Macaca fascicularis: one gene and its partners. The protein of the gene in region 2 interacts with the protein of the main gene of each other region in a pairwise test. Links are inferred from orthologs where the notes say so. Each region holds a gene or a part of one and is shown on either strand. Other genes may lie near its edges.

Region 1 (7,263 bases), on a different chromosome or scaffold from region 2:
TGGGCCCTCCAGGCCTGCCCGCCCGCTTTGCTGGCACAGTGCCTCAGGTGTTTCCCTTCTGGAGAATCTCTGTTTAAGCCCCACTGCAGGGGGAGGCTGCAGGTAGATCTTGCCCTGGACCAGTGCCCGCCTTCCTGGCTGAGACTGCTCTTACCAGAGGTGGCTCTGGTGTCTTGGCCCTCTTCATTGGCACTGGGCCATGCTGATGCCATCTACTTTGGGCATCATGTCCATGGGCTGGGGAGGACCCCCTTCCTGAGGACGCCTGTGGCACTGGCCGCAGTAGGTCAGCCTGCATCCCCCGTGGTGGTTCTCCACTCTCCCACTGAGAGCCAGGCATGACCTGTGGGGAATTTGGGTGAGAGAGAAGCAGTTAACCCTTGATACCCTCGATAAGCCAGCGCGGACCAGCCACCTGTGCGCCTCCCTGTAAAAGACACAATCTAAAAAGCTTGCAAGACCGAATCCAAACAACTACTCCTGCCTCCCATGAAAAGGCCATAGCCCTTCCGAAGTCTCCTGTGGTTCACAGTTCTGCTGAGGACTTGACCTCATGTTAAAATTTAAAACCAGGATTCATTCCCTGCATATCAACACCAGTACCCTACACCCTGCTTCGGATGATTCTGGAACTGATTAACCAATTGGGGCTTTGTTCATTTTTTTCTCCGTGGCTCCTCTGCTGTGATCTTTTCACTGCTCACTATATTGTCATCCAGAGAGTGTCAGGAAACCTCAGCAGTGAAAGCAGCCTGGTCTTGGTTTATGTTACTTGTGTGCAATTCTGGGCAAAAGGTAGGGTGGAAAAAGAGAATAGGTTAATTTTTTGTTTCGTGTTTTTGAGAGAGTCTCACTCTGTTACCAGGCTGGAGTGCAGTGGCATGATCTCAGCTCACTGCAATGTCCACCTCCCAGGTTCAAGCGATTCTCCTGCCTCAGCCTCCCAAGTAGCTGGGATTACAGGCGTGCCCCACCACACCCAGCTAATGTTGTTTGTGTTTTTAGTAGAGACGAGGTTTCATGTTGGCCAGGATGGTCTCAATCTCTAGACCTTGTGATCCACCCACCTTAGCCTCCCAAAGTGCTGGGATTACAGGCGTGAGCCACTGCGCCCGGCTGAGAATAGGTTAAATTCTCCGCCTTCTGGGTTCACGCCATTCTCCCGCCTCAGCCTCCCAAGTAGCTGGGACTACAGGTGCCTGCCACCATGCCTGGCTAATTTTCTGTGTTTTTAGTAGAGATGGGGTTTCACCGTGTTAGCCAGGATGTTCTCGATCTCCTGACCTCGTGATCCACCCGCCTTGGCCTCTCAAAGTGCTGGGATTACGGGCATGAGCCACCGCGCCCGGCCAAGAATAGGTTAAATTTTAACATGAGGTCAAGTTGGGCTTTGCGTGGCTCTGGAGCCTCACGTTCATGCTGCACACGTAGCTGGTGACCAGGGGCTGGGATGGTGGAGAGGTGGGCTTCTGTCATACACCCCTCTGCTCCTCTTCCATAGGACAAGATCCAGAAGCTTTATGAACGAAAAATAAAGGAGGGAATGGATATGAACTACATTATCCAAAGAAAGAAAGAATTTCGGAACCCCAGGTAAGTTTCTCTTGAACCTGCAGAGTTTATTGAGTTATTAATGTTGGATTAAGGACGTCCCCAAGGAGGTGGTGAGGAAAAGCCCTGAGCCCAAACCATCACCCAGACTTGTCATTACACTGAGTGCCTGCTGGACACGGCAGACTATGCTAACCCAGCCAGAGGCTTGCCATTTAAGATCCTGACAAAACACAAAGCAGTCCATACCGAGACCTAGACGGGGATGAGGGAGACCTGGCTGAGTTCTCGTCCCTGCTCTGAGCCTAAAGCACATGACCTCTCAAGACCCCTGTCCTCATGGAAGGAATTGGACTAGACAATTACTATAGGTTCATCTTTCAACTCTAAAAAGCTGATTTTTGCATATAGGTGAGAGGTCTTAGGACCAGAGCTATGTCTGGTCTTATTCCATTTAATGCTCAAGCTAGTGACTTACGGGGGAAAGAGCATGGCCCTTGTGTGGGCCTGAGTGTGGTGAGCCCAACCCAACCATGCAGACTGAAGGTCAGTGGGACAAAACTCAGCCATCACCTTGACCCCATGCTCCTCCCGGCCCTTAGTTAACAGGTCCATCTCCCTGGGAGGGTGTAGGGCCATCAGGAAGCTTGCTTAGAGCAGCTGAGCTGGATTTAAAGGTTTTGAAGGTTTTGTGTCAGCCCCAGGAGCTGGATGGTTCAGGCCCCAGGCAGGGACGTGGACTTGTGCCTGCTCAACGCCTGTGCTGTTTTTTCAGCATCTACGAGAAGCTGATCCAGTTCTGTGCCATTGACGAGCTTGGCACCAACTACCCAAAGGTACATCTGGCACACGGAGCTGGAGGGTGATGGGGACACCCGGGGTCCTGTGCTTGTTCCATGGGGTTTGACCTGCAGCCACAGAAGGGTCCATGTAGTGGCACCGCTAGTTGAAAGCACAGTCCCCATGTCTTGTGTTTGAGTCCCTATTGTTCTGAAATAGTCCAATAAAGAGATTCCAGTGGCCGACCTGGTGTCTGGCCCCTGACTGGTGGGGACATGTGTGGACCTGCTGCTCCTGGGGGTCACTGGATGGGGGCTTCATGCTCCCGTGTTCTTCAGCACTTGCCAGCTGCCCCTTGGCTAGAGACCAGGGATGACAGCCGAGCCCCAGGTAAGGGGACCCCAGACCAGGAAGCTCTGTGGAAAGACTCAGGCAAGGAACTTGGGTTTCTGAGTCATTTGTCATATGACGGTTCCTACTAACTGCAACTTTCGCCTTTTCCTTTGCAGGATATGTTTGATCCCCATGGCTGGTCTGAGGACTCCTACTATGAGGCATTAGGTAGCCTTTCATCCCTCCTCCCATATACCTCGTCCGCCCACCCAACTGTCCCTTTATCCAGTCAGTTGGTTATCCAGGCAACACGTATTTCAGGGTCTCCTTTACGTCAGGCCATGTTCAAGGGGCTGGGTACAGGCCTGAATGAGACAGACCCACCCCTGCCTTAAGAGGCTTATGCCACAGCAAAGAAGATGCCAGTAATGCATCACGCCAGTAATGCCAGCATCGATGAAGTGTTGGTGATGACAGAGTTGCTGGGTACAGGGGAGCTTTGGCAAGCAGGGTCATCTAATCTGGCCAAAGGGATGGGAAGGTCTCACTGACAAAACTGTGTTCCAGCTGAGGTTTGAAGAGGCAGAGGGGCCAGGCAGGTGCAGGCAGAATGTTCCGAGGCCAGTGAGAGGGTGGCTTATTCTTAAGGTACCAGTTTGGGAGAACTGGGAGGAATGTCAAAGGGCCCAACCCCTAGACCATAGGTCTTGAGCCTGTAGCCCATGGCCCAGATCTTGGCCTGTAGAGGTGCTTTGTTTGGCCTTCATGAATGTTACTGTCTTTTATTTTGAATTCATTGCCAACATTTTACATAATAATCTCTGATTCCAGCTTCTCTCAGTCAGTAGCAAGGTAGTCCCCATTGGGCCTGTATTTCCGTGTGCGGCAGTCCACAGGAGCTCAGGAGTAGCTGACCCTTCCAGACACAGACACGGGGCATGCAGCCCTCCAGTCTGGAGCTGAAGGCCCCTGCCCTACGCCAAGCAAGGGCTGGCTTCATTTTGCCTAGCACGAAGAACACTGAGCCCATGAAGACCTTTAGCCCACTGAAAAGAACGCAGGGATCAGAGTCGGCTCCCTCAGCCCAGAGCTGCTCAGGGGCCGCCTTTGTAACAGCTTCTCTTGTCTTCATAGCCAAGGCCCAGAAGATTGAGATGGACAAATTGGAAAAGGCCAAAAAGGAGCGAACGAAAGTAAGTGATGGCAGACCTCCTAGATGGAAAAGGCAGATGTGAAGTGCATGGGTCCTGCTGGCTGAGCCCAGAGGTTGTCCAGGCTGCCCCCCGCCCTGGCCCCATGTCAGGGCACAGGCCCTGCTCTGGGTTTGCGGTGCTCGCCTGCTGCCTTGCCCTTGGAGTCTTGCTTGCTGCGTTGTGACCCCCTTCCTCCCCTCAATTGCAGAACCTTGGGAGGCTTTGTCTATTTTGGGTCGTGGGTGCCCTCTGTGGCCTGAAGGGAGGGAAGTAATTCCCTAAGAGAGTGCCGGGCCCAGCTTGCTCTGCTCAGTGAGTTTCTTGGCCTCCAGAGCTGCCCTCGGTGGCCCGCCTGGTTGCTACCTATTAGGTCCCATGTTAGGGCCCTGAGCGCCACTTGTTCCCCAGCAGTGTGGTCTGGGTTCTTCAGGGAGCATCAGTTTGGCTGTGAGACCAAAGTGTTATCTCTGGGCCTTGTTCCCTTTGTGACCAGTCTCGGAGCCAGGCATCAGGACACCAGCTCCTCCCACGTCTGGCTCGGCCTGACCATCCTCAAGTAGCTGCGGCCTCCAGACTGCTTCCCTCACCCCAGGCAGAGGGGCTCTGGGGCCTGGGCATGCTGGTGGCCCTCTGGAGTCACTGGCTGCTGGGCCAGGAACGTGGGAGCTGGTGCAAGGGGATAATCGGGGTTTCTCATTCTTAACCCTTGATTGAATCTCCCTTCTCTCTCTTTCCCTCTCCCTTCCAAACCCCAGGCTTGTTGCAGGGACGTGTCTGCAGCGCCTGGGGACCGGAGCTGTCCTTCCCCTGTGCGGGCGGGCGCCGCCTCCTCCTGGGTGTGAGGAGGAGGGGCCTGGCCAAACGGTTCTGGGCATGTGAGGTGGGGCGGTGGGCCGGGGGTGCCGGGCATGTGCAGAGACCTGGTGATGCCGGGAGGGATCCAGTACTGTTTGGAAAGTTCTTTTAAGAGCGAAAAGCCCCTTTGGGTTCTTAGACACCTCACCCTCCCCCAGATGGTCAGAGCAGAGTTCATTTCCAATACCTCTTTTGTGTAGTGCCAAGCTCCTGTCCCCCAGGAGCTGACGGATGGCAAAAGGCTATGGACACCCAGCTTTGCCCAGCCTCATTCTCTTCCCTCTCCCTCTCCAGATTGAGTTTGTGACGGGCACCAAGAAAGGCACCACGACCAACGCCACGGCCACCACCACTACCACTGCCAGCACAGCTGTTGCAGGTAGATTGCAGAGCTGCCCTGCCTCCCTGCCTCCTGCCATACACACGGAGCCAGTGTCTCCCTGGCTAGTTTGGGCAACAGACAACACGTGGATCTAGGCCTAGGCTCAGCCTTGCTCTTTTCTAAGCAGGGACTTTGAGAACCAGCTTTGGAGTCTTGGGGGGGCCCCTTCGGTTTCTGCTCCCTAGGCCCGTGCTGGCCTGCAGGGGAAGGGAAGGAGAGCGCTGCTCATTAGTGGATCGCGATCCTGACTTCTGCTTTATCTCCAGATGCTCAGAAGAGAAAGAGCAAGTGGGACTCGGCTATCCCAGTGACGACGATAGCCCAGCCCACCATCCTCACCACTACAGCCACCCTGCCAGCTGTCGTCACGGTCACCACCAGCGCCAGCGGCTCCAAGACCACCGTCATCTCTGCTGTGGGCACCATTGTGAAGAAGGCCAAGCAGTGACCTGAGGGGCCACCCTAGGACTCGAAAGGACTGTGCAGCCCAGTGACCACTGCCCAGTGGGAGGCGCCACTTTGTATATTTCAGGATTGGGACCTGCTCCCCTGATGCCACCTGAGAGGAGCTTCTATGTGGCATTCCAGACAGAAGGACAGGCAGCACAGGAGCCAGGTGCTGTGGACAGGGTCTGTCCACGCACCACCTGGGGTCTGCCGCCCATTAAAAGTGCCATTTTCTTACCTCTTGGCATCTCAGATGCACTGGCCTCTCCTGCATTCTGTTTGCAGGCAAATGCTTCAGCTCACACGTCCCCCCATCTTGGTTGGGACTGCTGCCTCAGGGTTGACGATAGGGTGATGGAGGCCTGGGACGCCGTTCAGAGGGGTAGCCCAAGAAGTCACCGTTGTTACCCGTGTACGCCTCTGGACATGGACAGGCGGGACCCCCCCAAGCTCCACGTTCGCTCCATGTGCCGCCTGGATCCCAAAACCCAGCCAGTTCTTGGGTGATGGTGGAGCTGTGCTCCCTTGGGTGCATTTGAGCACTCCCCAGTCCAGATCACTTCTTGGACACACCCAGGCTTTTGAAGTCAAGCCAGTTTCCAGAAGGGCTGGGGTGAGATCCTGACCTGTGCAGGGAGTAGGGAGGCGTCAGCGCCTGGCCAGGGCTGCCCCAGTCCCTCGGTGCCCCGTGAGCGCAGCCAGCCAGGAGCTGAGCAGCGGGGGCAGATGAATCACCTCCTGCCCTGGCCAGGCGGCAGCTCATTGTTTACGGGCAAGCCCTGCTCCTGGGAGGGCTCCTGCCACCCCACCCTTCCTGTGCGTGTTATCTCTGCCCCACAGCAGCCCCTGGGCAGCGCCAGTGGCCACTGGGCTCCCCCCGGGGCTGAAACGGGTTTCCCAGACCGGGAGTCCAGAGGAGACTGTTTACCCTTCGTGACCTTTGGCGACTCTCCACTGGAGCGGAAGAGCTGTGTGTCAAAAGAAGGAAGCCGGGCTGTGAAGGGCCGTGTTGCTTTCAGTCGGTGGGCAGAGGTTTAGAAAGGTGGTTCTGAAACTGCACCTGGTACTCTTGTGGGACCTGAGGAATATAAGGAACTCTGTGCATGAGGTTTCAAAAATAAAAATTGAGTCCACTCCCCCCATACACACACTCGGCCACTTCAGCAGGTCAGGTCTCAGCACTTCCTTGATGGGGCTTTGAAGCTCTGGGGAGCAGAGCCGCTCCCCACTCATGCCCCAGAGGGGCTCTGAAAAGGCTTCCTGTGGCCTCCGACAGGGGCCCCTCATTAGCCAAGGACGCTGTGGGTGTTTTGTGGGAGGCACCGTGGCGCTGCGGAAAGGGCAGTGGACGTGGAGCCGGCACCTCTGGCCAGATTCTGTTAAAACCAGTTGAGTGGTCTCAAACCCTTACCTCTGTAAGCCTGTTTCTTGTCTGAAAATCACGGTCATAAAGCGTCGTAAGTTGGTTGGGAGGAACCAGAGGTGACTTACGCAAAAGCTTTATAAACTGTAAAGTTCCTGCCAGTGTTTGTTGTTGGCTAAATCCAATTTTGTTTTGTTGTAGACCGAGGAGAGAAGCAAACTGGCCTGTTCCCCGTCTCATGCTCTGTCAGGGAGGATGGGGTTTGGCAGGTCTTTCCCCTACCCGCTTTCCTCTGGGCAGCCCCGGCCCTGCCATTTATCTGTTCAGTTAAAGCAGTAATGACTGTCTCTTGCGGGGCC
Region 2 (7,467 bases):
TCCAGCCTGGCGATAGAGTGAGGCTCTGTCTAAATAAATAAATAAATATAAAATTGAAATAACGACCTGTGTTCTGCCCACTCATGGGGGTGTTACAAGGATCTTATTTGTATATCGGAAATTTAAGCAGGACTGCCAAGCTTAGGGAAAGGAACCAGTCACAATGCATCTGGGGCTTTTCCTGGGACATTAGGAAAGAGGTAAAGTAGAAATCTCCATTCAGGGAGTGTGGAGACTCAGCAAATATTTTTTGTTTTGTTTTGTTTTTTGGGGGTATAAACTTCGGTATTTCTTGAATATGAGATGCCATCAAATGTAAACTCAGTATTATTTTATGCTTTACTAAGGAAGAGAGAAAAAATTGTCAATTAAACAATGACACATCTTTGATTATACGTCTGGGTTTCTTCTTTTTTTAAGATGGAGTTTTGCTCTTGTCCCCCAGGCTGGAGTGCAGTGGCGCAATCTTGGCTCACTGCAACTTCCACCTCCGGATTCAAGTAATTCTCCTGCCTCAACCTCTGGAGTAGCTGGGATTACAGGTGCCCACCACCACACCCAGCTAATTTTTGTATTTTTAGAAGAGGTGGGGCTTCATCATGTTATCCAGGTTGGTCTCAAACTCCTGACCTCAGGTGATCCACCCGCCTCGGCCCCCCAAAGTGCTGGGAGGCGTGAGCCACTGCGCCTGGCCTTGATTATATGTCTGGGTTTCTAAGATGTTAAGTCTGAAAAATGTTTGTATTGAAATAAATCAAACAGTTTCGTGGCTGTACATCTCTTACTTCCCGTGAGGTGGGTGGACTGCCTTACCACCACCATCCTCCAGTCACTCTGTCTCAAACCTGATGCCTTTCTGCCCCTAAATGTTTCTCCATCCCCACTCCAGGCAGTAAGTCTTGCCTTTTCCATTCGAGCTGCTACCTGCTGCAAGCTGTCTCACCTGGACCACTAAACTGGCCTCCAAACCAGCCTGCTCATCTTACCCCTCCACTCCATTATTCATGCTGCAGCCAGCATGATCTTTCTACAACTCCGCTCACCCCAGGCCCCTGCTTAAACAGTTCCATAGGCTGCATTTCCTGCAGGGTGAGGTCTGTGCAACTTGGCATTCAGCTTTTAAGGACCTGGGCTCTGCCTGCCATTTTACTCTCCTGGCACTTCCTCCAAATGGAATTACTTGCTACTTCCCCAAAGCACCGTATGTTCTCAGACCTCCAGGCCTTTGCACCAGTTGTTTTCTATGCTTGGACTGCTCTTCCTCAACAAGTATTTATTGAACACATAGTAAGTGCCAGGAGCTGAGAACGAGGCGGGTGCAAGGCAGGCAGGATCTCAGTCCTTATTTAGGCTGGTGGGAGAGAGAAACAAAACCGTAAGCCTATATGGTAATTATTAAGTATAAACACACGTGGTAGGCATTCATAAAGGTTTCCTGAAAATGTCGGGGAGGGTGGGGCGCAGTGGCTCACGCCTGTAATCCCAGCACTTTGGGAGCCCGAGGTGGGCGGATCACTTGAGGTCGGGAGTTCGAGACTAGCCTGACCAACATGGAGAAACCCTGTCTCTACTAAAAATGTTTACAAAAACAACCCTGGGTCGGGCGTGGTGGCTCACGCCTATAATTCCAGCACTTTGGGAGGCCAAGGCGGGTGGATCACTTAAGCTCAGGAGTTGCAGACCCGCCTGGCCAACATGATGAAACCCCATCTACTAAAAATACAAAATTAGCAGCATTTGGTGGCACATGCCTGTAAATCCCGCTACTAGGGAGGCTGAGGCAGAAGAATTACTTGAACCTGGGAGACGGACGTTGCGGTGAGCCGAGATCGCGCCACTGCACTCCAGCCTGGGTGACAAGTGAGAAACTCCGACTCAAAAAACAAAAAAAAGAAAATGTCGGGGAGGGAACTTAGAGGGCGGGTCAATAGGTGCAGCAAACTGCCGTGCAGACGTATACCTATCTAACAAACCTGCACGTTCTGCACACGTGTCCTGGAACTTAAAGTAAAATTAAAAAAAAAAAGAAAGAAAAAGGAAAATGTCAACCACGGCTTCAGAAAGCGATTGGAGCCCAGGATCTACCAGTGACTACCTATGTGACTTGGGGCAGCTGACTGCGCGCGTCTCCACTTCTGTGTAATGGCAGTAATAATGCCCCCCCACAGGATTTCGGGGAGGATTTAATACGCGATACATACAATCTCGCGGTTTCCGCTGGGCCGGAGGGGCCCCCCTACTCCAGGGCGCCGAGGGTCCGCCTGCCCAGGGCCGGGCCCCGCCGCAGGCAGCTGTGGGCGCCACTGTGTGCGCGTACCTGCCCGGAGAGCCGGACTGCCAGGCCCAGACCGCGGACGCCAGGGTCTGGCACAAGGGGCATCGGACGCCAGGCGAGGGGAGCGTCGCCCCGCCCATCTCCCCACTTTGGGGGACAGCCCCCCTCGCTCATTCCCGCCTCCACCCTTGACTTGAATCACTGTTGGGGGGGGTGGGACGGGGCGTGACCCATTCATGCCGGGAATCGGATCCAGATGTTCCCGTGGCGTGTGCAGCTGCATCCTTGCCTTTTTTGGCAAAAAACGTGCGGTCGCGAGCGGATCCCGGGCCGCCCTCGTTAATCCTTGGGAAGAGGGGGAAGGGGGCTGAGAGGGTCTAGGCCCAGACTGGGGATCGGAACCGGGTCCTTGCTCTGCGGGCTTTGGGAAGGGCTGTTGGCGGAGGGGACTATTGGTACCAGCCAATTAAGGCACCCCATCGCCACCCTCGCTTTCGTCTGGAACCTCCCCCAAACCCCTCCCTTCCCTGCATGGAGGAAAAAGCCCTCTGCCAGCAGGGAGGCAGGCCGAGCTCCAGAGGGACGGTAGCCGTGGCGGGGATCCCCTTCATGGGGAGAGACTTCCCACCCCGTGGCCCGGCCCCCCTCCACCCCGCCCTGCAAGGACGAGGTCTAGAAGAGATTCTGAGCCTCCCAGTCTGCAAAAACCCTTCCTTCCCCTTTATACCCTGCGCGCGCACGCGCGCACACACACACACACAGAGGCACACACGGAGGCCCCTGCTTCCTCACACCGCTTTATTGCAGAATCTGGAAGGGGGGTGAGCCAATCTCACCCCTCTGCCCATCTATGGGCAAAATGGAGCTGAAATAAAATGAGAAGACACTCGGTGGCCACCAGCTGGGCAGCACCCTGTACCCTAGGGCCCCCTCATCGGTGGGCCCCTGATCGCTGTCCCCACAGCCTCAGCCCCGGGGGGATGGGGTGGGGCAGGTCAAGCTTGAGAACAGTCCACTTTTGAGGACTTCTCAGGCACCCATAGGAGACCTAAAACCTATAAAGAGAAGTCTAGATTTAAGGGGGCCTAAGTCCCAGAGCCCAGGTTTGGAGGGCTGGGGTCTAGAGCCCTGATTTGGGGAGAGGACTCAGTCTGGGAACCCAGACTGCAGGGGAGAGGGTGAGTTCTGGAGTCCAGGTGTGGGGAGGCAGCTTGACTCATGGAGGCTCTATAAGAGCCCAGGTTTGGGGGCCTGGGTCAGGGAGTACCAGTTTGGGGATGCTGGCGTGGAGAAACAATCCTGGAGCCCAGAGGGCGACCCATTTTTTTTGGTTGGGGGGTGGGGCTAAGTCCCAGAGGTGGTTTAGAAAAGGAGCTACAGTCCTGGGCCCGTGGTATGGGAAAGCCTGGGTCCAGGAGCCTGGCTCAGGGCCCTGCCTGGCTACAGCCCTGGCAGAGCACTTGGTCTCCATCCGGCACGAAGCCTTGGCCCACCAGGGAGGTAGAGCAGCGGGCGCAGGAGAAGCAGTTGTGGTGCCAGTGTCGGTCTTCAAAGGACACATACTTGCCTCCACCGAGTCCTGGAGGGAGGCTGGAAGTTAGCTCTGCAGATCTAGGGATGGTCCGGCCCTCAACTTCACCCAATACCACATCCCATTCCCTTGCCTGCACCCTACCCACTCCGTTCTTTGACCCTTGTCCCACCTACGATGGGGCGCTTGCAGCTGCTGCACTTAGGTGCAAAGAGTTCTCCAAAACAGGCCACACAGTAGGGATCTTCATCCCGGGAGGTGAACTGCTGCCCTGCCAGGGGCGTCTGGCAGCCGGTACAGACCAGACATTCTCGATGCCAGGGCTGATCACGGTATGTCACTCCACCCTGTGTCAGCGTCTGTGGGGGCAGCATTCATTAGTAGGTATGAGTGGGGATTCCCACCCCACGACAGGCCTTACTCACCCCCACCTGGCTGGCCCAGCCCCCACCTTGCTGCAGCGGGCGCAGCGAGGAGCAAACTTGTTCTCATAGCAGGGCACGCAGTAGTGAGCACCCTTGTCGGGCACAAAGGAACGGGAGCCCAGCGGCTGCTCACAGCCACTGCACAGGAAGCAGTGCTCATGCCATGTCTGGCCTCCGTACTCCAGCTTCCGGGACCCTGTGGGGAACAGGGGTCCCATTTAGAGGCTGTGTCCCATGCTCCTGAGGGCCACCCTCTGTAACTTCCCCGGGAGTCTCCACTCCTCTCGCAGCCTGAGCAGGGTGGTGTCCAGTGCACATGCAGCAAGAACCCCCCTGCCCCATGTACATTACACATGCTAACCTCTCCCCAGACACCGGACATGATGACCCAGCTAGACACGAGGATTTTGGCATATGTTAAGCCCCCATATGTCCCAGAAATGACAATTTCAGCACATATCGAGCCTCCATGTAACAGTCATGAAGTCTCACTATGAGCTAAGCCCTCATATAACAGATGTGATGATTTCAGCACTCACACGGGACCCCACATGTACCAGGCAAGTAAGTATATGCCCTAATGCCCTCGGCATGACAGGTTCAGTACATGCTAAGCCCTCGCATCTCCTTGGCACACCATTCTCCATAGGTACTGAGTCCCAACATTTCTATTAGGCATGCAGGTCCCCACACATGTTAAGCCCTCTGTTTACCTGCCTCTGCACACACTAAGACCCAATGCAATAAGCACGACAGTCTCAGCACACCTCTAGTTCCTACATGTACTAAACATGCAGATACTCACACATGCTAAGCCCCCAAGTATGTATCACATGTGTCAATCTGCCTGCACATAGTAACCCCCAGTATACCAGGCAAACAGATCCTGCATATACTAAATTTCCAGAAACATGCTGTGTGTGCAGGTCTTTACACAGACCAAGTCTCCATGTATCAGACAGACACATGCAAAGACCCTACGCAGATGCCAGGCATGCCAGTTCTTACACAAGATGAGCCCCTGAGGACATACCAGGCATGACAGTTTCCCCACAGGCGGAGCACTGCGAGGAAAACGCACTGCAGTAGCAGTCATTGCAGAGCAGCTCACTGTCCTGGCAGGTGAAGGGTTCATCGGCTAGTGAGCGCTGGCAGCGGCAGCAGCGGAAGCAGCCCTCGTGGAAATGGCGGTCTTCATAGAACAGCTCCTGTGGCGAACACAGCGGGGGCACTGGCACCCAGGCCTGGTGGATCCATCCTTTGCCCCCTTCCACTGGTCACCACCCACCTCCTGCCTGGCCTGGCCCTCTCCTTACCCTCGAGTCATGCCCGATAAGCTGCTGGCACTCGGCGCAGGTGTTGGCAAAGGTATTGTCATAGCAGGGCACACAGTAGGGGCCGCTGTCTGTCTGGATGTACTTGCGTCCATACAGGGACTCGCTGCATTTTGCACAGTCAAATGACTCGCTCATCGTGGCAAGGAGAGAGAACCCTGTTAGGAGCACAAGGTGGAACTGGGGTCACACAGAGAGGCTGTGACTTGGCTCCTGGCAAATAGGCCTCTGCATTCAAAACACAGAAACAGACCCGGCATAGGAAATGCCAGTTCAGAGTAGGTGGTGATGGGGAAGGGGTGCTTCCGGGAAACCAGGAGTCCCGCATGTTTCTTTCTGTATTTAACTGGGGATAGAAAGAGGTCAGAAAAAAAACCAGGAAGCAGAAGTTGTTTTCTTATCTAGGCCCTAGCAGATCTAGGGGGAGGGGGCTTTTCCTGGGTCGGTGACTCATTTCCTGCCTCAGCCAGCATTTAGCCTCCACTGTCCCGACTGTCCCCAGCGTGGGAGAAGCAGGGGCAGGGAGCCACCCCACTCTACTCCAGATGAGCAGTACTCCCACCCTCTCCTGACTCGGGACTTTAGGAATATGGATCAAGGAACCCTTACCCAGAGCTCTGGAGTACGGAACTTAAGAGATGGGAATGGGCTGTTCCTAGCCCCTCCTGATCCAAAAAACAGTGGAATGCTAGAGAGGTGCTGGACTGATGAATGGTGGAGGAGGCCAGTGTGAGAGGTTAGGCCTTCCCTCCCGGGGCATCAGCCAAAGAGGCTCAAGCAGGAAGGAAATCCTGCAGGCTGGACACAACCAGGCTTCCCCAGCTAGACCCTCTGCCCTCATCCCCCTACCCCCACTGTGTCTCTGGTCACACTGGCTTGGACAGCCTTGGCCTGCAACATCTGCAGCAGCTGTGGCAGCACAGATGGCCAGATGTCAGGTTTTGCCAGCAATGGGGAGAAAAAAGGAAAATGAAGTGTCGGGGGAGGCAGAGGGGAACTGGAGACAGACTGAGAGTGCAGTGTGCCCCCTGCCACCTCCTGCTAGCATCTGGCAAAACCCCAGTATCTTTCCATCCCCTGGGGTCATGATTTCCCTCCCACTGCCTCTGGGAGAGAAGGTCTCTCCCACCTTTTCTGATTTCTCAGGGTTTGGGACTAGGGAGCTGAAAGCAGAGACAGCAAGAGCCAGTGAAGACATTTTGTCCCCAGTCAGGCCCCATCTTGGGTGGGGAGTAGGACAAGGGGGAGCCCTGAGAGCTGCTGCTGGAGACACCCAGCCCCCGACCAAACCTCAGACACTTTCCATTTTCTCAGGAACAAAGCATGTTTGTGGGATGAGGTCATCCACACAGCTGCCTCTGGAACAGGAGCCTGGGGAGTAGAGCGGTAGGGAAGTGGGGTTCCCAAACCTTTCTGCTGCCCGATTCCAGTCACTAGCCCCAAAGTCAGAGCTCCCACCCCTGCTCTCTTCTATCATGAAGCCTGCTCTCTAAGAGCTGGGATACTGGGCTAGTGGAGAGGAACCACCAGGACCCATAGGAAGGAGATGTTCTCACAGCTGTGGATGAGCCCGGGGAAGTTACAGTGACACACAAAGGAATCCACCAACCCACTCTCCCACAAGGCCCCAGTGCTGGCAGTCACCAGGGCCTGCCCTGGCTCAAGCTGAAGGAAAAGTCCTCCTTTTCTCATCCACCCCCAGTGCGAAATTCTTGACAAAAAGCGCTGCTCTGGCTTGAAGTTCAGACTCCAGGCACCAGCAGACGCCCCCAGCTTGGAGGCCTGACTCTCCATACATCAAGCCTCTGTGCAATGGGAGAACAGCCAGCTCCCACTTCAGGCCAGGGTATGAGGCCACCAGGGGCCAGGGTCTTTAGAGCTGGAACTCCTGGGCTGGGGGCT
Region 3 (6,879 bases), about 77 Mb from region 2:
TGTAGACATGCTGCACCATCTATCAGTTTAAAAAAAAAAAAAATCAAAATAGGAAGCAGGCTCGGGCCACTCCTGTCACTGAGAGGCAATTTCATTTCCTATCCTAAAACAAACCATCTCAACTAGTGAATTTTTGCATAATAATGCTGAATAAAACACACATTACTGTGCTTGCCTGGCCAAGGGCAGTCAAGCTTAGCCCCTCTAGTGGAGGACAATGGATGAGCAATCACAAAAGCAGGCTCAGAATGGCCAGAACTGTTTGAAACGGAGTTCTTATTCCTGGGGTTGGTATTTCAGCTGAGCACTGAAAATAATATCACCTCCTGGGAGCTATTAAAAACTCTGGAGTGACCAAGTGTCCCTATGAACCCAGAGTGGCTACAATGAACCCTTCCCCGCTTCTTCTCTCACCTGGAAAGGAAGAAGCTGGAAATGCAAGTTCAGAGAGAGGACTTAAAGCCTTAAGCTGGTTTGAGGTCAGGTCACTGTGACCCAGGCCAGCTGCTCACTAAATTCACCGGGCTTCCTCCCTTCCTGTCAGGGCCAACAATGTTAAGCCCCAGGGACAGAATCTAAAGCCACATTGAGCACATACATACACATTCAGTAGACACAGGTGGATTTTTATGTTGGAAAATCGGAAATGCCAGTTTGCACACTAAGACTGAAAAATCTCTAAAGTTTTTAAAGCCACACACTGCTAGTCAAGTGATTAACGTAACAATACAAGCTCTTGGTATTATCCTTTTCTGTGGAGTTTAGACTCCTATCTTAAGTGGTATCTGCTTATTGGACTAGGGGAAGGAATGTGGTTTGGTTTTGTTTCCTGCATCTCATTTCTTACAAAAACAACAAATCTTGTCCCTTATAGAAAAAAGACAAGGAACAAAAAAATTTGTCCTTTAGAAACCAGACCTGTGTTCCAACAAGAAAATCAGAATGTGCTTGGCAAAAAGGAGACACAAAGATCACACATGTTGACCAGAAAACTGTATGACACTAGTGACAGAAATTATACAAACTGCTTGGCTATCTTGACCAATATAGTGCTGAAAACACAACTCAATATAATGATTTTTAAAAATAAAGAAAACACAACATGTTCCTGGTAGGCTGTACTGACTACCTGCCCCATCTTGGAAGCCCTTACTCCTTACAATGAAGAAACTCCAAATACTTTGACAGCTCCTCGGTGTTCAACCTGGTACAGAGCTGGCTGACCAGGCTCTATGAAATCTCCCATCTCCATCCTGCACCTCCTTGACACCATCTCTATCTACATAGAACCAGTCCTAAAATTATATCTCAAATATATCATTTTCAATTCAGATGGAACACACCTGTATTTTAGGATTAACCTTCTTTCCCCAAATCCTTTATGGGCAGGAATGTCCCCATCCCCAGTACCTTCTACTTGACCCAGATCCGTGCAGGAGCTGAGAGTACCAGGACAATTTCACAGCTTGAAGGGCCCCAAGACTCTACAAGCTGTTAAAAAAGAAACCTCAAAAGCCTCAATGACTCAACAGGCTTTGGTTCCTTCTCTATATTCTTCACCAGCTAAGAAACCTTTCTGTGAGCTCCTTGTCACCAGCGGCACCATAAAACTCCTCCTCATAGTGTGGGGACATGGTAAGCAATACAATAGGCTCTTTGGTATAAACTCATCTGTTATATGTTTTTTCAACAAGCAAATATTTTACTAGGAATGTCAACTATTTGCAGGAAGGACTGCCACATGGGAAAAGGAAAAAAAAATTCATTCTAAAAGTGATTGCACATACTTTAAAAGAATGCATATTTAATATTGGCTTGACTCCTCTCACCTGCTTCCTGAATTCTCACAGAAGCAAGGTAGCAATGCACAGTGAGAGAGCCACATGGGGAAAATGCTTCTGTGAGAACTCAGCTGAGAATCCAAAATGGAAAGGGGTAGAGGTGGTGGTAAAGGAGAAAAGCTGCTGTTTTTATTTTTCAATGTTGGCAGGGAAACTGAGAACGATGCATTTACACAACACAGCTACTAATCCTGTTCTGATAAATCCCGTGAACAACTTAGGGTCCCCGGGGGCTTGCTGGTCCATCCTAAGGCAAGCTCACTGTAAACTCTATTAACCACTACATTATCATATAAGGCACTACAATAAGGGAAGGAAGGAGAAAGGGAAGGAAGAGACACACACTGAAAAACTCCTCACCAGACACACCTGTGCAAAACAATTCCAAGGGTCTCCTCTCCTTGCAGGCAATGCCCCTGCTCATTCAGCACTACAGTAATATGCTCTAATATACTTGCAATTAGTTCACATACATTCCAACAAGTATCAGTTCATTTTGGTTTAAATACAACGGGGACATCAATCCATCTCCCGGATAACACTGGAGGATCACATACACACTAAGTACACAATTCAAGTGTAATCACTACACATTTGATTACAAATAACATTTTGGGTTAGCAGGAAAAATTGCTTGTTATATTTTTCTAATCAATATGTACATATTTAATTATGTAAAATATTAAAACACCACCATTACAAAACTTCTAAAATATTTTTAAATTCAGTAATAAATTTTTAAAATATTTTTTGCAATTCCTACATGCACTTATTGTATAAGTCTTAATAAGAGAGCATTCAATTTGCTGCTGGCATACAAAGGAAGCTACTTTAAAGTATAAAAGCTATACACAAGAAATGTTCTTATCTGGTTTCAGGTTTTTTTAGCTTTCTCCCCAAACAAATCACATAAAACAGAAGGGAGAGATGAGCAAAACACAGAGGTGTAATATTGAAAATTCATACTAATCTTTAGGCAAAGCTCATCAATGCCAGTATCTCATAAGAGACAGAGATTTTGCATATAATAAAACAACCACCACCATATAATAATAACCACCTTAATGGCTTTTACAATAAAAAAATTTAAGCTGAATCAGAGAGAGAAAGACTTTTAAAAAATAATTTAAAAAAGAATTCATGGTGCTTCATTTAAAAAGAATACTTGGTGTTTTCACATAGATATGGATTCTCTCACATTAAGTTACCAGCAAATGGTGAGCTGCCTTTTAAACACTACTTTATAACACACACAGGAGCAATTGAGAGAATCCCAATAGTAACATAGAGTAATACGTAACCAGTTTTGCAAAAATAACAATTACCCATTAAGTATAATATGACATTAAAACAAAACTGAAACTCTGTAAGTTTAAATGTCCAATAAACGAAGATGAGATTTTGAGGAGAAATGCCTGATAGTAAAAACACAGACTTGTGTAAGCTGCTTTTAAAATAAAATAGGCAAGTAAGTCTGAGTTTATAAACAAACAAAAAGTAATGATTTTTCTTTTCTTGTCATCAGATTTCAACTCCTTCTATCAGCATTTTTCCTAACCAGCAATCACAATAACACAAAATGAAATAAAGAGGGGCTTCACTTGTTTTTAAAAGCATTTATAGAAATCAAGTCAGAGAGACAAAATATTTTTCAGAGGGTAACTTCACAACAATCTCTCTTCCTTGGTAACTGCAGAAGATGGGCATCTGAACTCTTCCAAGTACCAAAATTGCTGTCACAAAAATAAAGAATTTAAAAATAGGGCAAACTTTGGGAGACTACAACAATGCAGTCAACACTGAGACAGGTTCCCCCAGAGAAAAACTTTCTGCTTCAGTGGGCCCCTGCAGAACAAGTTGCTGGCTAAGAAGTTTCAAGAGGGTAAAGGAGGATCTCACCATAGCCCAATATTAAGAACTCAGGGCCAGAAGAAGGTAGCCATGACTCCTCCTCCCTCATGCTCACCAACTATAAGTAGGAATACTGGCTGATCTTGGTAGGACTCAGCGGGTATCCAGTGTAAATTGTTGAGCCTCGGGAAGACCCAATGTACGACTGAGTGGCAAACTGGTGTTGGTACTGAGCAGGGGCCACGCTGGCAGAAGTGAGGAGGCTGGGCCCAACACTGACAGGGACCTGGTGCACCAAAGTGCTAGGGTGAGTGGTATAGGCTGCAGCATGCCTTGAGGAACCCTGTGGGGAGAAAAGATGAGCAATGGAGCTGGTTGAGCCCAGTGCAGCAGCAGAAGTGGGGGCAGCATACGTATACAGATGAGCCTGGCTTGGCAGGTGAGCAGGGGCTGGGGCAAGGTGTGGGTGCCCCGTCGAGTGTAGTGGGCTGCCGTGCTGGAAGGTGTAGGGGGCTTGGGAGAGAGGGGCCACAAACGCCTGCTGCCTGCGGGGGGCTGGGTTGCTGCTTCTCTCCTGCGAGGTTGGAGCCGCCGATGACTGCTGGTTCTGGAAGAAAGAAGGAAGTGAGGAATCTTGAGGTCACTCTGGTTCAGGGCACGAAAGGCCAAGTTAAGAGCTCAGGTCCTGACTTGTACTGTTTCCGAATGGGTATATAACACATAATCTCCCAGACTGGCATTGAATGCTGTCAGAAATCAGCCACCCCTCCCTCTGCCTCTTAGCAAGATAGATCCTAACCTGGCTCAGGTAACAGCAGTTTGCTTATAAGTATGACAGGAAGAGGGAGAATCAAGAGATCACAGGGTTCCCCACTCCTGCAATTTAATAACTGGTGACTCAACTCACCCTATTCTGGCATCAGTAAATTTGAATTTTTCCTAACCTTTATTTCTTACCATTGCTTTCTTTTGTTCTTCTCCTCTAAGTTCTTCATACCCCTCTTGAAATGTGGAGCCTAAAATATATACACTAACTCAAACTTACATTTTCACTTGCATGTGCTCTCACACTCTCTCTCTCATATTGAACTTTCTCACTACTGGTGGACATCATACAAGCACTTGAATTTTAGCCTCCAAGAATGAACACAAATAAAGTAATGAGAGAAGTAGAAGGGTGGGTTGGGGCAGGGGATGTTCGGAGAGTGGGGAAGTCCCAAATCCCAGACTTCAGCAACAAGCAGGACCTAGAACCAGTTGAATTTGGTGGCCAGTGAGCTTTTCAGTCTCTTGACTCAAGTAAACAAGGTAAGGATCAGCTTACTTATGGCCTGAGGGATAAAGAGAATCTGGTCTCAAAGCATACGCCTATCACTGACATGGTTAAACTTCCCACGCTCTTTCTAAATCCCAGACGTTTCTCTAACCTTCCATGGTAGACTTAGGGAGGTTTGATGGAAAACCTAGAATGTACATCCCAAACACAAAAAGTGAATGATGAGATGCAGCACATGCGGTACGACGTAAGCCATAGAACACAAAATTGTTTGACACAAAAGGGGCTTCATTTGGCTTTATTCAGCATCCAGCCAGAAGCAGGGTTCTCCAGAAAGTAACAACAGTGCAAGGCCCAAAGAGAAGGCAGTAGCCCGTAGCGCTTACCTGGCTAAGGTTGAGTGGCTGTGCTGCACCGGTCCCCCCGCGTTGAGCTCGATACCCTGTGGGGGTGATACAGCATCCAGATGACTGCCCACTCACTGAAGCTACTGGCTTGGTCTTATTGCTCAGGAGACCTAAAAAAGCATCAAGCTTAATAGTTATGAGTAGACATCACTGAGCTAACCTCAGATGGCATCATATTAATTAGTCCACATTTGTATGCAGTTTGCAAGCGTTAAGGTCTCATGTATGTCTTAATTCCTCAATTCTATTTACCCCAGAAGAAAATAACCTGTATCACCCATTTCTTTTCTGTCTTGGCACAAATCTCCACATAGGAGATTTGTTCACTTAAATCAATATTATAAATATTATAATATTGATTATATACAATAATATAATATTGTTATATACAAGGAAGGACTGGAAATACAAATATGCTAAGACACCGTCCCTCTCTCTAAGAGTTTATAGTTTTATGTAGGAAGGGATTAAACAAGCACAGAAATGACAATATGAAGCTGAGAAAGCTATTGGTAATTCTTAGGATATTAAAGTGTCAAGAGGGTTTAAAAAAAGGCAAACTTATATCTTGGGCACTTAACTGGCTTCAAATTCTAAGAAATTACAGGACAGCTGAATGTGAAATTTTGCTTGCTTCTGTGTTCCCATTAGGAAAACCAGAGCATCTATTCAGTGTTTCATGTGATAGCCTATATTCTCTGGACCCAAGAGCGCATGGAGGTCCTAATAATTCTGTTCAGTAGCCTGGCATCAGGAAGCTCTCTCCCTTGTCTGCAATGGGACAACTGTCTACTTCTGAAAAGAATCACACAGAGGCGTAACACAATACCCTCAAATTATAACCCTGTTTACGTCTATGGCAGTAAGATAATACACAATAAAACATAATTTTTACAGGTATGGCCCAGGTTTATGTTGATACCTAAACTTCACCAACCCCTTTCTTGGTATGAAGTTGTCACTGAAAAGCAGCTACCTTGACAAGACTACATTGCCTGGCTCACTTGCATCTAGGTGGGGCCATGTGAGAAGTATTCACTATTTCCACTTATATCCAGGCTAAAGAGATTAAAACATGTGTGTGCCTCCTTCAAACTTTCTCCTTCTGACTGGATGCTCAGGAATCAAACACTTGTACCAAGAAGTTATATGAGAGAGAAGTAAATTTGTACTATGTTATGCTATAAAAATCTAGGATTTGTTACTGCAGCTATTACCCAACTAACACAATAACTGAACCAGGGAGCCTAAGTCCAGTATCTATCAGAGCAAAGAAGATGGAAGTAATTGGGTTGGTAATAAAACCAACAAAAGCATCACTGCTATGACACTGGGTGAGAAAAAAAATCTTAAGAATATAACTGTTTTCCAAAACACTTTTGTAGTCATTTTCAGTATTATCAAGTCCTGTCTACATCTCGATTGCCAAATTCAAATCATCTATGGCAAACCTAATTGCCTAATACTTCTGGCAATATCACAGGTCTTGTCTGCTTTCTCCCAT

The links. The genes of interacting proteins can lie anywhere in the genome.
Region 1: the proteins of FHL3 (region 2) and SAP30BP interact in binary tests that used the Homo sapiens proteins (3 or more experiments, as listed by UniProt). The two-hybrid records come from large-scale screens. The link is inferred for Macaca fascicularis from reciprocal best matches to the Homo sapiens genes FHL3 and SAP30BP.
Region 3: the proteins of FHL3 (region 2) and HIPK1 interact in binary tests that used the Homo sapiens proteins (3 or more experiments, as listed by UniProt). The two-hybrid records come from large-scale screens. The link is inferred for Macaca fascicularis from reciprocal best matches to the Homo sapiens genes FHL3 and HIPK1.

The regions. Positions count from the first base shown.
Region 1 is NC_088390.1:82,106,339-82,113,601, forward strand, and holds part of SAP30BP (SAP30-binding protein), read left to right. Parts: intron 1-1,501; coding exon 1,502-1,593; intron 1,594-2,326; coding exon 2,327-2,387; intron 2,388-2,840; coding exon 2,841-2,892; intron 2,893-3,798; coding exon 3,799-3,857; intron 3,858-4,612; coding exon 4,613-4,693; intron 4,694-5,006; coding exon 5,007-5,091; intron 5,092-5,360; coding exon 5,361-5,542; 3' UTR 5,543-7,263. UniProt on the Homo sapiens protein: Plays a role in transcriptional repression by promoting histone deacetylase activity, leading to deacetylation of histone H3.
Region 2 is NC_088375.1:196,914,736-196,922,202, reverse strand, and holds the end of FHL3 (four and a half LIM domains protein 3), read right to left. Parts: intron 5,724-7,467; 5' UTR 5,704-5,723; coding exon 5,548-5,703; intron 5,440-5,547; coding exon 5,265-5,439; intron 4,428-5,264; coding exon 4,258-4,427; intron 4,166-4,257; coding exon 3,979-4,165; intron 3,855-3,978; coding exon 3,700-3,854; 3' UTR 3,060-3,699; downstream 1-3,059. UniProt on the Homo sapiens protein: Recruited by SOX15 to FOXK1 promoters where it acts as a transcriptional coactivator of FOXK1.
Region 3 is NC_088375.1:120,390,286-120,397,164, forward strand, and holds part of HIPK1 (homeodomain-interacting protein kinase 1), read right to left. Parts: intron 5,486-6,879; coding exon 5,355-5,485; intron 4,300-5,354; coding exon 3,811-4,299; 3' UTR 1-3,810.